Linked DNA regions of Arabidopsis thaliana. The protein of the gene in region 1 interacts with the protein of each later gene in a pairwise test. Each region holds a gene or a part of one and is shown on either strand. Other genes may lie near its edges.

Region 1 (3,756 bases):
AGTATCTCTAGCCTTCATCGCATTAACCGATCTCAATACGTTTTCAGGCAAAACCTCATCATCAATCACTTCAACCATCAGCTCTGGCTCCATCTTCTCCTCTCTCATTTCACATATGTTGTGAAGCACACAACAAGCACCCAAAACGGTAGGCAAATCCTGCAGCTTCACTTCAGTCCGTTTCTGCAGACACGCCCACCGCCCTTTCAACCTCCCAAACGCTTCCTTAGCCACTCCCTGCACTTCGCTCATCTTCTCATTAAACGCATGCTGCGTCCACGTCAAGTTCTGTTGCGTATACGGAACCAAAACCCAGTCCAACAACGGATGACCCGGTCCACCAGCAACCCACATCCCCTTCAACAAACCTCCATTGTTAGCTCTTTGATACAACAATGACTTCTCTAACACCTTATCATCCGGCATTGACCCGGGCCATCCGATGCACAAGTCAGTAAAAACACCTTTCGGGTTCACAACGGCTTGAATTGTAATCGAATACGACGTCTTCTGGTTCCTCTCAGTATGCCTCTTATTGAAATAAGAGGCTACACTAATCTTAGGAGCTATAATCGGAATGTGAGTAGTATACATAGAGCCAACAACGTTTGGAATACCCGAAACCGATTCGAAACGTTCTCTAATGTTTCTAAGAGATTCATCATCTGGCCATTGAAGATACTTAGGCATTAAAACGTCCTTAATAGCTTTACATACCTCAAGAACAAGCTTGTGACAAGTTGAGATTCCTAAACCAAACTTCTTGGAGACAAGACGAAGTGGCTCACCGGTGGCTAATCTCCATATACAAACCGCGACTCGCTGACGCACTGGAATCGCGTTTCTTAACGCGGTGTCTTCTTTAGCAACCGCTGAATTAAGCTCATCGCAGATTAACTCAAACGTTGATTTAGACATTCGAAACGCTTTTTTGAAATCTTCTTCTGGATAATCCAATCGGCTACACTCTTCCCACCAAGCTCTGCTCCGATCTTTAACCCATAACCGTCTTTGCTGACCCGAACCGGTACCACGAACCGATCCGGATCCGGTTATCTCACTGCTCTCCGCCTCAATCTCCGAAGCAGCAGCAACAGCAACGGAAGCGACGGCGCGTGAGACGCGTGACTTCTTCAGATTGATATCTCCACTTTCCTCAGCATCAGCGTAGTAATCGTTGAGATCGGAGTAGTAATCGGACATAGTTCTAGCTCTTTTCCGGTAATTAGATTGAAAATCAGACATTTCACGGCGAGAAGCAGCGTTACGAGCTTCCTGGTCTTGCTTCTCGTGCTCCTCCATCAAAAGCAAAGAAGTGAAAAATCCTTTGAGGTTTTTGGTTTCGTTGTTTCTCTTAGACTCTACCTCGCCGCCGTCGAAAACATTACAGACTTCTTCTTCTTCTTCTTCTTCCTCCTCCTCGTCTCCGTCTTCGTTACGGAAAACGGCGGCTTTCATCGAAGTTGTGTTGTTTCACGTTTTTGTCTCTGAAAGGTCTTGAATTTTTGGAGTGTAGAAGAAGATTAATTTTTTTGAGGGTTCATAAATAAGAAATCTGAAGAAATTTTTTTTGGGGATGAGAAGACGAAACTTGTGGGACGAGTGTGAACACGCAAGTTGACTTTACTAGAGAGCTATTGTACTCTTTTTTCCTTTTTAATAAATTCTTGTTATTTATTACTCATTTTTATTCTTGTTACATTCTTTAGTATTTTTTTGGACAAATATTTAGACAGCGGTACAGAAAAAGCAGAACCAGTTTGATTCTTGTAATAGATTCATATTTGGAAGCAAACTATGTGAAAACGTTTTTTTAATATAATTAAAGGATATATATGTCGGAAAATATTGACTACATATCGAATAATTATCAGTATACTCTGATTGAATAAATTGGAATCTAAAACGTTATATAGGCGATACAAACTAATTTTGAATCTAATTCTTAGAATCGTGATCATGATCAAACCAAATTCTTAATTTGCTTGCTGCTTTTGTTCAAAACAATCTTGTTACTATATTAAGCATGTCTATTTATAAGTACAAACTTATCAGTTTTAGTACTATGTTGTACTTTTCTTAGAAACATTTCTTCTTATCTCAGAATGGTGATTTTGATTCGAATGCGAAGTTGCTAAGATATGTTTTGGACGCACTATTAACTTTCTCATTTTTATACAAAATCCAAACGATAGCGAGCAAAATGTTTAAAGTGAATATCAGAATAACAACTAAAAAGATTAGATAACAAAAAAGAACTAGACTAAATATATAATAGATTTGAGCTATTTATCGATGGAATAAACATAACATGTGAATGAAGTGGTAAATTTCAATAAAATCGGAAGATTTCGAGGCGAAACTCAAGACCAATTCCTAAGCTAAAAGCTATGTAAATATTTTCGTAGATATTTATGTAATACTACTAAATAAGTTGTTTTTATATTCAAATAGTTTGTGATACTTTTGTTGGCAAATTCTCCATTTTGATAACTTGATATTGAGAGATGAACAAGACCTAGAACAATACACGTATGATTCTCTTTCTTAGTTAACCGGTTTGAGAAACTATGAGTTCCATTTCCACCACTCTTTTATGTTATTTTATCATTGTCAACAGATAATTGTAAACGTTGTTTGTTATACACTTGTGGAGAGTGGGTGTTCACACACATATCTTATATACGAACCCAATAATATTATTATAAAATAAGATCTCAAAATGATTGTACCTATAAACTGAAAGAAAGAAGTGTGAACACGTCAAGGAAGTATCGGACATTGTTTGTTAGTCTAATGTATTTGGCGGTGTGGAACGTTAGGTGGCCGATGGAGACTTTTGGTCCCATGCTTCGTTTCCTTTTTTCTTCCTTTTCTTTTTGTGTTTACTTGAGTTGCCAAATAAAGAAGGCATTAGGGGATCTGCTAACATTTTTTATAACTTACATTAGTGGCCTCTTTCATGCATCCTCGCCTAGATTCATGTTGTTTTTTCTTGTTTAATCAGAAAATTAAAGGTATAAATATAGACTAATCTTTCTCACATTAATCCAAGCACCGCAATACAAAAACTATAGGGTGACCAGAGAATAGTTGGTTAACGAAGAAGAAATGGTCTATGTTGCCTTTTTAAAGGCCTCAAGTTTGTTGGAAAATATTTTAAATGAGAAGGCAAAGTTCATATCATACTGATGATAAACAGATTAATAACTTTGTAGAGATGATGAATCTAATTCACGCATTAAACCATCATATCTAACCACTAAAATGGAGAGAAAAAAAATCTAACCACTAAAAGATGAATAAGTGATATAAAAATTAAAGTAGAATAGAATCCAGTGCAGTTGAAATCAAACTTTGCAAGTATTTAGTTTAGTGATACATATTTAGTAGAAAATATATCCCTAAACTATCATTTGATTTTTGAAGTACTTTGGATAAAAATATGTGAAATGAAAGAGAAGAGCTTTCAGGCCATCAGAAATTCACGAGAAGCAGCACAGCTGTACAAGTCATCTAGCAGAGTCACACCAATATTCTAGCAAAAGAAACCAACAACAACTGGTTAGCAAGTTTGAATGATTTAGCAAAAAGATAATAGTCCATAAAGTAGCCGACAAAGAGAGTACATAGGGCAGAAAGACTGATTCCTCGAAGACATTTCTTGCTTTTGATGAATCATTAATCAATAAGTTCATAGCAAAACTTGATATAAACATTTAGAACGTGGTGTATTTGAATGTAAAATCATAATGA
Region 2 (3,756 bases), on another chromosome or scaffold:
TTTCTCTTGACGTTAGACCTTATACTCTGTTTTCGTTCGCTGTAATATTAAAGACGCATTTTGAGTTGTATCTATTATACATGTTGAAGTCTCTTCATACTGCATTGTTGCTTATCTTATATCACATTCTTTTAACAAACCCTCTAATAGGTGTGCAATGCATATGCTAAGACTTGCTTGGTCTTTGCCAGTAACGTGTTGAAAATATCTTCTTAACAAAATCACACGTTCTGCTGTGAAAAGGGGAAAAAAAAAGAGAGGTGTGTTCGAATCGTGATACAAAGTAATGGATACAAACGAATAAATTTTGGATAGGTGGATATACAGTAAGTGAATACATTGGGGTGGATCAGTACAGTTGCTACTGAAATAGTAGAACATCAGAGTCACGGTTCTGCTTTTTCTGATTGGTGATTGTATGATTTGTATCTTCCTCTTTGTTCCCTATCTCTGTACTTGTGGAGGGTTTGGCAGTGTTAAGTATACCTTTCAACCAACTACCTTGCAATCTAAAGCTCCCATTGTCTGAATTGTTGAGAGTTCCTGGCCGCTGTGGAGAGCCACTGGAGCCATTTGAACCATTGGTTATGTTTGAGGTAACATTCGAAAGGAAGCGATAAGCCACTTTACTGGCTGAAACAAGTTCAGTTTTGGCTTGCTTTACCTGCAAAAGTCACAGTTCACAAGGACTTAACATCCACATGCATTCAGGTGTAAAAAAAGAAACAGCGTGGGCAGAGCAAAATGAGAGAGAACCCACCCGCATTGCTGTGTTTCCTGCTACTTCCAAGGCTGTGTCGCCAGCATGAGCAAAACGATTCACCCAACCTGTTAAGAGACAGAACCCAAGCCGTCACATAACATAAACACACACACAAACCCTGATTCCCACAATAATGGTTTTACCTGGGATCTTTGGCACACCAAGGCGGTCACATAATACATCGCAGAAGTGATTGCAATTTTTGGACAGCAAATCATAAGTGTGTCCTGGCCATTCCCTGCTGAGCTCACGCAAGATCTGATTTACCATGAAGATTGTACAATCTGTCTTCCCAAGAACAATTTTCTCACGATATGTGTACATTGGATTCTTGCCACTAGGACAGCTGAACACACCAGTTCCTTGTTCACAATACCCATAAGACCATTCATCGTTTCCATATACCTGCACAAAGTTCATACAAGATTCTATTCAATCACTCTTCCCTGCGAATCAATAGCAACATGTAAACCTAAAGTTCATCGCACCCATAATCCCATAACACGTTTCTAAAATTACTTGAAGAACCGAGTATTGAGATCCTCAGTACAGACGAAAAGGGAGCTTAAGCTCAAGATCTTACAGAGACCTTTACGACCATATGCCATTAGATTAGAGCCTCACAGATAAAACCAAAAATATCATTCCTTCAAATTCTTCATTTCCACATACAGACACACAAACAACAACTCAAAAGAGAGACATCATCGATACATGTGCAGATGTAGATTGATAGACTAAAGACGAAGAAGATCGAGGCAGTGGAGTAGTAGTACCTGAATAGCGCTGTGGAATATACCGCCAAGACCGATCCCGTCTTTGAAGAACCTATTGATCTGAACTATGGTGTTGTTAGTCTTCTCTGATCCACTGTTCGTCACATCGTATATGTGCAGAACAACCTCCGCCATTGATTCTATCTTTACCAAGAAACACGAACCCTAATTTACTACGAAATTGAGCTCGCAGATTCTCTCTATAGTAGCTTCAGAGAAGAAGGAAACCTATAGAATCGTACCAAATCCACTTTTCTTCAACAAATCCAAATTCTCTAATCTACTAGATCTCTAAGAAACCACTGCACGAAACTCTTGTTTTTAGATTTTGATCTAAAGCTGAGGTATTTTGAGTTTGTTTATCTTCTCCCAAACTTTTCAATCTCAGACGTGGGAGATTGAAGAAACTGATGCTGTGGTGTCTGGAAAGGACCCTTATACCCTCACTTTGCCGACGCCGGTTTCACACTCAACCGACACTTTCTCTTTCAATTAACCGGTTTAGTTTTCATTAAACCAGAAAAATGATTATCAATTGGTTTAAATACATCCTGAGATATTTTAATTTGAACCGTTGGATTATAAATTTGTCAAAAGAGATTGGTAAAGAAGACTTTCATTTGCTTCGTCTCTCCGGTTGTTACCACCACACAACGCCATGGAAGCTGCTCTTGCTGCATGCGCTCTTCCATCGCTCCGAATTCTCAATACGAAACCTCGTTTCAGATGTTCCTTCTCCAATCCAAGCCTACCCATTTCTCCTAATTCCCTTATCACCCGCAAATCAAGTCGATTCACAACCGCAGTATCATCACCACCATCATCATCAGCCGCTACGTCAACGAATTCTCCACCGGAACCTGAAGCCCTATTCGAACCCGGGTCGGATAAGTTCGATTGGTACGCTAATTGGTACCCAGTGATGCCAATTTGCGATCTTGACAAGAAGGTTCCTCATGGGAAGAAAGTTATGGGGATTGATTTGGTTGTTTGGTGGGATAGGAACGAGAAGCAATGGAAAGTGATGGATGACACGTGTCCTCATCGTCTTGCTCCTTTGTCTGATGGAAGGATTGATCAATGGGGGAGGTTGCAATGTGTTTATCATGGATGGTGCTTTAATGGTTCCGGTGACTGTAAACTCATTCCTCAAGCTCCTCCTGATGGTCCTCCGGTAAATTTTTATAGCTATTGATGATGATTTGTTTGTTTTAGATTGGTTTAGCATATGGTTTATATGGAACATAAAGTCAAAGTCTTTGGTTGTATCAATGATTATTTTGGTAATGCAAATCAGGTCCACACTTTCAAGCAAGCTTGTGTAGCTGTTTACCCGAGTACTGTGCAGCATGAGATCATTTGGTTTTGGCCAAACAGTGATCCAAAGTACAAAAACATTATTGAAACCAACAAGCCTCCTTACATTCCAGAGTTAGAAGACCCATCATTCACTAAGTTGATGGGGAATCGTGATATTCCTTACGGGTATCTATTGGCTTTTACATCATTTCAACTATGTGTGGTAATTCTCCGTTGATGTTTTTGTGTAAATCTGAAATCTTTCAGGTACGATGTCTTGGTGGAAAACCTCATGGACCCGGCTCATGTTCCTTATGCACATTATGGACTGATGCGGTTTCCTAAACCAAAAGGCAAATACATAATTTGTATTTCAAATAGTTGTTTTAATCCTTTTACCAACCTTCAGATTCTTCTTGCAGAGAAGATTGACAGAGAAGGGGGGAAACCACTCGAAATCAACGTTAAAAAACTAGACAACAAAGGGTTCTTTTCAAAACAAGAATGGGGTTATTCTAATTTTATTGCACCATGTGTGTATCGCTCTTCCACAGACCCTCTACCAGAGCAGGAACATGAGTATCCCGCACCAGCTGCTTCTGACAAGGTCATAGATTTTAACTTGTATCAAGATTTTCTTGTTTAGAGTCACATGTTTTAGTTACCTAACAGTATGGTTCTGTATACAGGCGGCATTGTCAAAGCGGAGATTGTCTTTGATCTTTATATGTATTCCGGTCAGTCCAGGTCGTAGTAGGCTGATATGGACGTTCCCGAGGAATTTTGGTGTATTTATTGATAAGATTGTCCCTAGATGGGTGTTTCACATTGGTCAAAATACGATTCTAGACTCAGATTTGCACCTCCTTCATGTAGAGGTAATTCCAAATCTATCTAGTACACACATTGTTCTGAGTA
Region 3 (3,756 bases), on another chromosome or scaffold:
TAATCCCAAGCATTGAATCGTAATCCTCGTCCTTGCGTGCATACTTCTTCCTAAGCGCTCTCTCAACCTCGATCTGCTCAAATGACTTTGAATTCTCTGAGGCGTGAATCTGTGCGAGATTGATGTAATTCTTTGCTGACTGTGAGATGTATACTATCTCTTCATCTGTTAACTTTCTCATGAACTTTGCTGGATTTCCTCCCCACACCTGCCACATGAAACTGATAACTTATAGATATGTCCTTGTAAATATATTCTCAGGTTGACGGTTGAAGAAAGTAGTTCAAAAGCATAGCGATATAAGAAATCCGTCTAATTCCTCATAAAACATTGGAAACACAAGAACCCTCTGTTACTCCCAACTCACCCTTGTTTCATATACAAGTAGAATTGCAACGGAAACAAAGGTGGTTCTCAGATTTAGACGATATATAAATACTATTTACTCTTCTTTTTGATCAAAATATAATACAATTTACAGGCATATCATTTCATTAACTAATTCTGTATCAACTAAATTGTAAGCAAAGCAAAAGTGGATCTACTTGAAGAAGTTCAGCTGGTCAAGCCTTAGCTACAGGTCAGCGTAGGACTAAATGCAGCAGACTACAGCTGCTATTACTTGGTTAATTAGCAGTTCGTTATTAGGCTTGGTAGAGCTTCAGGGTCCGTGATAAGTAAACCTAGCTAGAGTTCTATTTTTGGTTCTTGATACTTTGGATTTTCTCGTTCAGTTTAGTGAGAAATAAAGCAGTTTCCAGTTCCAGTCTTATCACAAACTCCGTAAGCAGTAAACCAGAAAAGATAAAGTGGAAAGAAAGAAACCTCTCCAGAAGGGATTCGCGTGTTCTGTTTCACAAGAGAACCAGCAGCAACCATGGCATGTTTCTCAACCACCACACCATCAAGTAGTGTTGCTCCCATACCAACAAAAGCATCATCCTCAACAGTACACCCATGAATGACAGCACTGTGACCTGCTCCGTTTCATTTTACAAACAAAACCTTTAACTAACAATCGTGTAACACAACATAAAAACAGATACTTCAAAACTGATAAATCGCTTTTTAAGGTTTACCTACTGTTACATTGTCCCCAATCAGAGTAGGTAGAACCTTGCCACTTATGTTGGTCTTTGCAACATGTACAAGCGTATTATCTTGGATATTCGTCCCAGATCCAACACTGATGTTATTCACATCACCTGCACAAGTTAGAAACCCAGATTAACATACAATAAGTTTCACAGCTACTTCATGACACATTTTATCGACAGTACAATAAATCTATGTCCAATGATCAGGACAGTAACGTATAACAGCGATACAAGATTATTAGAAGGTAAAGAGAACTTCATTTCCTAAAACTAAACTATGACTACTTTGCACAATATACTGCTGCAAAATTTGGTACTTCTATCGAACCAAAGGCCATTAAGACTTTCTAGAAGTAATAAAGCCTCACCTCGAAGAACACAGCCATACCAAATCGACGAGCCTTTTCCGATCTGAACATCACCAATAACAGAAGCACTCGGAGCCACAAACACATCTTTATCCACCAATGGTGATTTATCAAACACATTCATCAACGTCCGATGCCTCGACACTGAAAACAAACACAAATTTCTCGAATCAAATTTTTTCAATCTAAGCCACAAATTTCTCCAATCAAAGGTGAAGACACAAATTAGAGATAACGAATTGGATCTAGGGTTTCAATAGAGAGTATTAAGTGGAAGGATCTGGAAGCTTACGATGTTCCTCGATACGGTGACTTCCTTGAAGAAGAGAACCAACGCGATCAAGAGCTTGACCAGTTCCACGAATCCAGTTACCCACAGTGTAAATTGCTCGTCCTAGGGTTCCCATTTTTTTGTGATTCTCCGATTACCCAAAGTGTGAAAATGAGAAGGCTTTGTTGTTTTTGGTGTCGCTCCACCAGATAGAGAGAGGTTTATGGAGGCGTATTGATGGGAGGATTTTTTTTTTTAACTCGAGTGAGTTCGTTTATTTTGTTGACCTCTAAATTTTTAGAGTATGGAGTGGTAACTGGTAAGCTAAACCAAACCGAAATTTATTGGTTGGACTTACAGAGATTGTGAATACAAAATCCGGATAGATTCGTTTTGCAATGTAAGGAGATGGAACAAAGCTTTCAGGAGACAAACACAAAAATGAGTAAAATAATTAATATAATTTAGCAAAGAAAATAAAGAGATAAAAATAGAGATATTAGCTTATATTGTGCATTGGATATTGGAAGTATTGCATAAAGCAAAGAAATAGTTTTTAGTATAAGGATTGGAAAAAACATTGTTTGTATCTAAAATGGGGTCAAGAATGTAGAAGATGGAGTTTCTTGGGTGTTTTTCTTGGAGTTATACTAGAAAGAAGTCGGGCAAGTGATATTTACGCGTGGGCGATTTCTCTCTCAAATTTTTTTCTTCTTATAATCACAATCTCTTGTTCCGTCAATAAGTTTTTTCGTTGACTCCAGCGACGAAGAAACCCATTGGGACATGGTGCTTCAACCGTGATCCGCTACATCTTCTCGGCAATTCAATCTATTCAAAATCAAGGGAGCAGTGGAGGGCAAATGCGGCATTAGGGGAGTGCAAGAGGAGCAATTGCACAGGATCCAAAAATTATTTGATCAAAATTAAAGGGTAAAATAAAAAAATTTATCAAATTTGAGGTCAAAAAGATAATTTTGACTAAATCTGAGGGCCATAATAAAATTTTAACTAAATGTAAGGGCCAAACTCAAAATATTTAGTATAAAAGGGCTAAATTTGAAAATTTGTACAGTGACAGAGAATATATTGAGTTGGCCCTGGTGGAGGGGAGAAGATTATGCGAGACACTGTCGGTAAGAGCTATATCGGTGGTGTGGCTTCACGGAGAGGAAGGATGAGACTTCACAGTGAAGAACAAGGGCTGACGGCGGTTAGGTCGGAAGTCTAAAGATTCTGGAGGTTTCATTGGGTCGCCGCTTGATGGGGGAGGTCGACTCCGCTTCGGTGAGGCTTTACCACCGTCGATGGTCTTGAGATCTACTCACTACTGCCGTCAACTCTCTCGACTGAGCTATGAGATTCATGACTATGGCAACCCGGATCGCCTCTTCCTCCTCAAAACTGCTCTACGGTGGCAGGAGGACAACGGATCCTGAATTACCATCTCCGTTCGACGAATCTCGTCTAGGCTCCCCAAAGGGTTTCTGTTCCGGTGAGATTCTGCAATTCTTGGACGGCGGCTCAGATCGTGTTTTACGATATGAGATTAGGATTTTCAACTTTCGGTTTAGATCGGTTTTGTAATAGATGGTTTAGTCTGGTTATATGTAAGTGGATTGAGTCTAAGGGAAAATGTATGAGCCTAAATCCGGAAATAGTCCATTGGACCTTATTTATAACATTGAAAACCATTTTACAAAAAAAAAGATGGAGTCTCTTTTCTTAGGGTCTCCACCTCTCTTTATAGTCTTTTCCTTCCTCCTATGTATCTTTATTTGGCCATTAGGTACATATCTAGCTCATAAAATAACTCTCATAATTAATTCGTAAACTTGAATGGCAAGTTTACTCCTTAAACCATGACCATTAATTCATAAATTTAATCACAAATTAATATCAAGATTTAACCACCTTTCTTATGCAAGATGTACATTCTTTGCTCTGTAAAGTGATGGAACTTGGATGCGTAAGATGGATTTGTCGTGCGCGATCCGGTATCAACATAAGCTTGAGTTCT

What was found.
Region 2: the proteins of AT5G12010 (region 1) and AT4G25660 interact in a two-hybrid assay, tested with the Arabidopsis thaliana proteins (one large-scale study listed by BioGRID).
Region 3: the proteins of AT5G12010 (region 1) and GAMMA CA2 interact in a two-hybrid assay, tested with the Arabidopsis thaliana proteins (one large-scale study listed by BioGRID).

What each region holds. Positions count from the first base shown.
Region 1 is NC_003076.8:3,878,026-3,881,781, forward strand, and holds the start of AT5G12010 (nuclease), read right to left. Parts: upstream 1,633-3,756; 5' UTR 1,459-1,632; coding exon 1-1,458.
Region 2 is NC_003075.7:13,081,595-13,085,350, reverse strand, and holds the start of AT4G25660 (PPPDE putative thiol peptidase family protein), read right to left. Parts: upstream 1,945-3,756; 5' UTR 1,675-1,944; coding exon 1,540-1,674; intron 1,169-1,539; coding exon 907-1,168; intron 829-906; coding exon 761-828; intron 665-760; coding exon 362-664; 3' UTR 1-361. Other genes in the region: ACD1-like protein, read left to right, coding at 2,198-2,713, 2,837-3,024, 3,106-3,445, 3,528-3,716.
Region 3 is NC_003070.9:17,321,476-17,325,231, forward strand, and holds the start of GAMMA CA2 (gamma carbonic anhydrase 2), read right to left. Parts: upstream 2,010-3,756; 5' UTR 1,873-2,009; coding exon 1,758-1,872; intron 1,610-1,757; coding exon 1,466-1,609; intron 1,206-1,465; coding exon 1,080-1,205; intron 978-1,079; coding exon 826-977; intron 209-825; coding exon 1-208. Other genes in the region: AT1G47265 (uncharacterized protein), read left to right, coding at 3,093-3,323. UniProt on the Arabidopsis thaliana protein: Enzyme involved in the catabolism of H(2)CO(3) but that does not mediates the reversible hydration of carbon dioxide. Mediates complex I assembly in mitochondria and respiration. Binds HCO(3)-.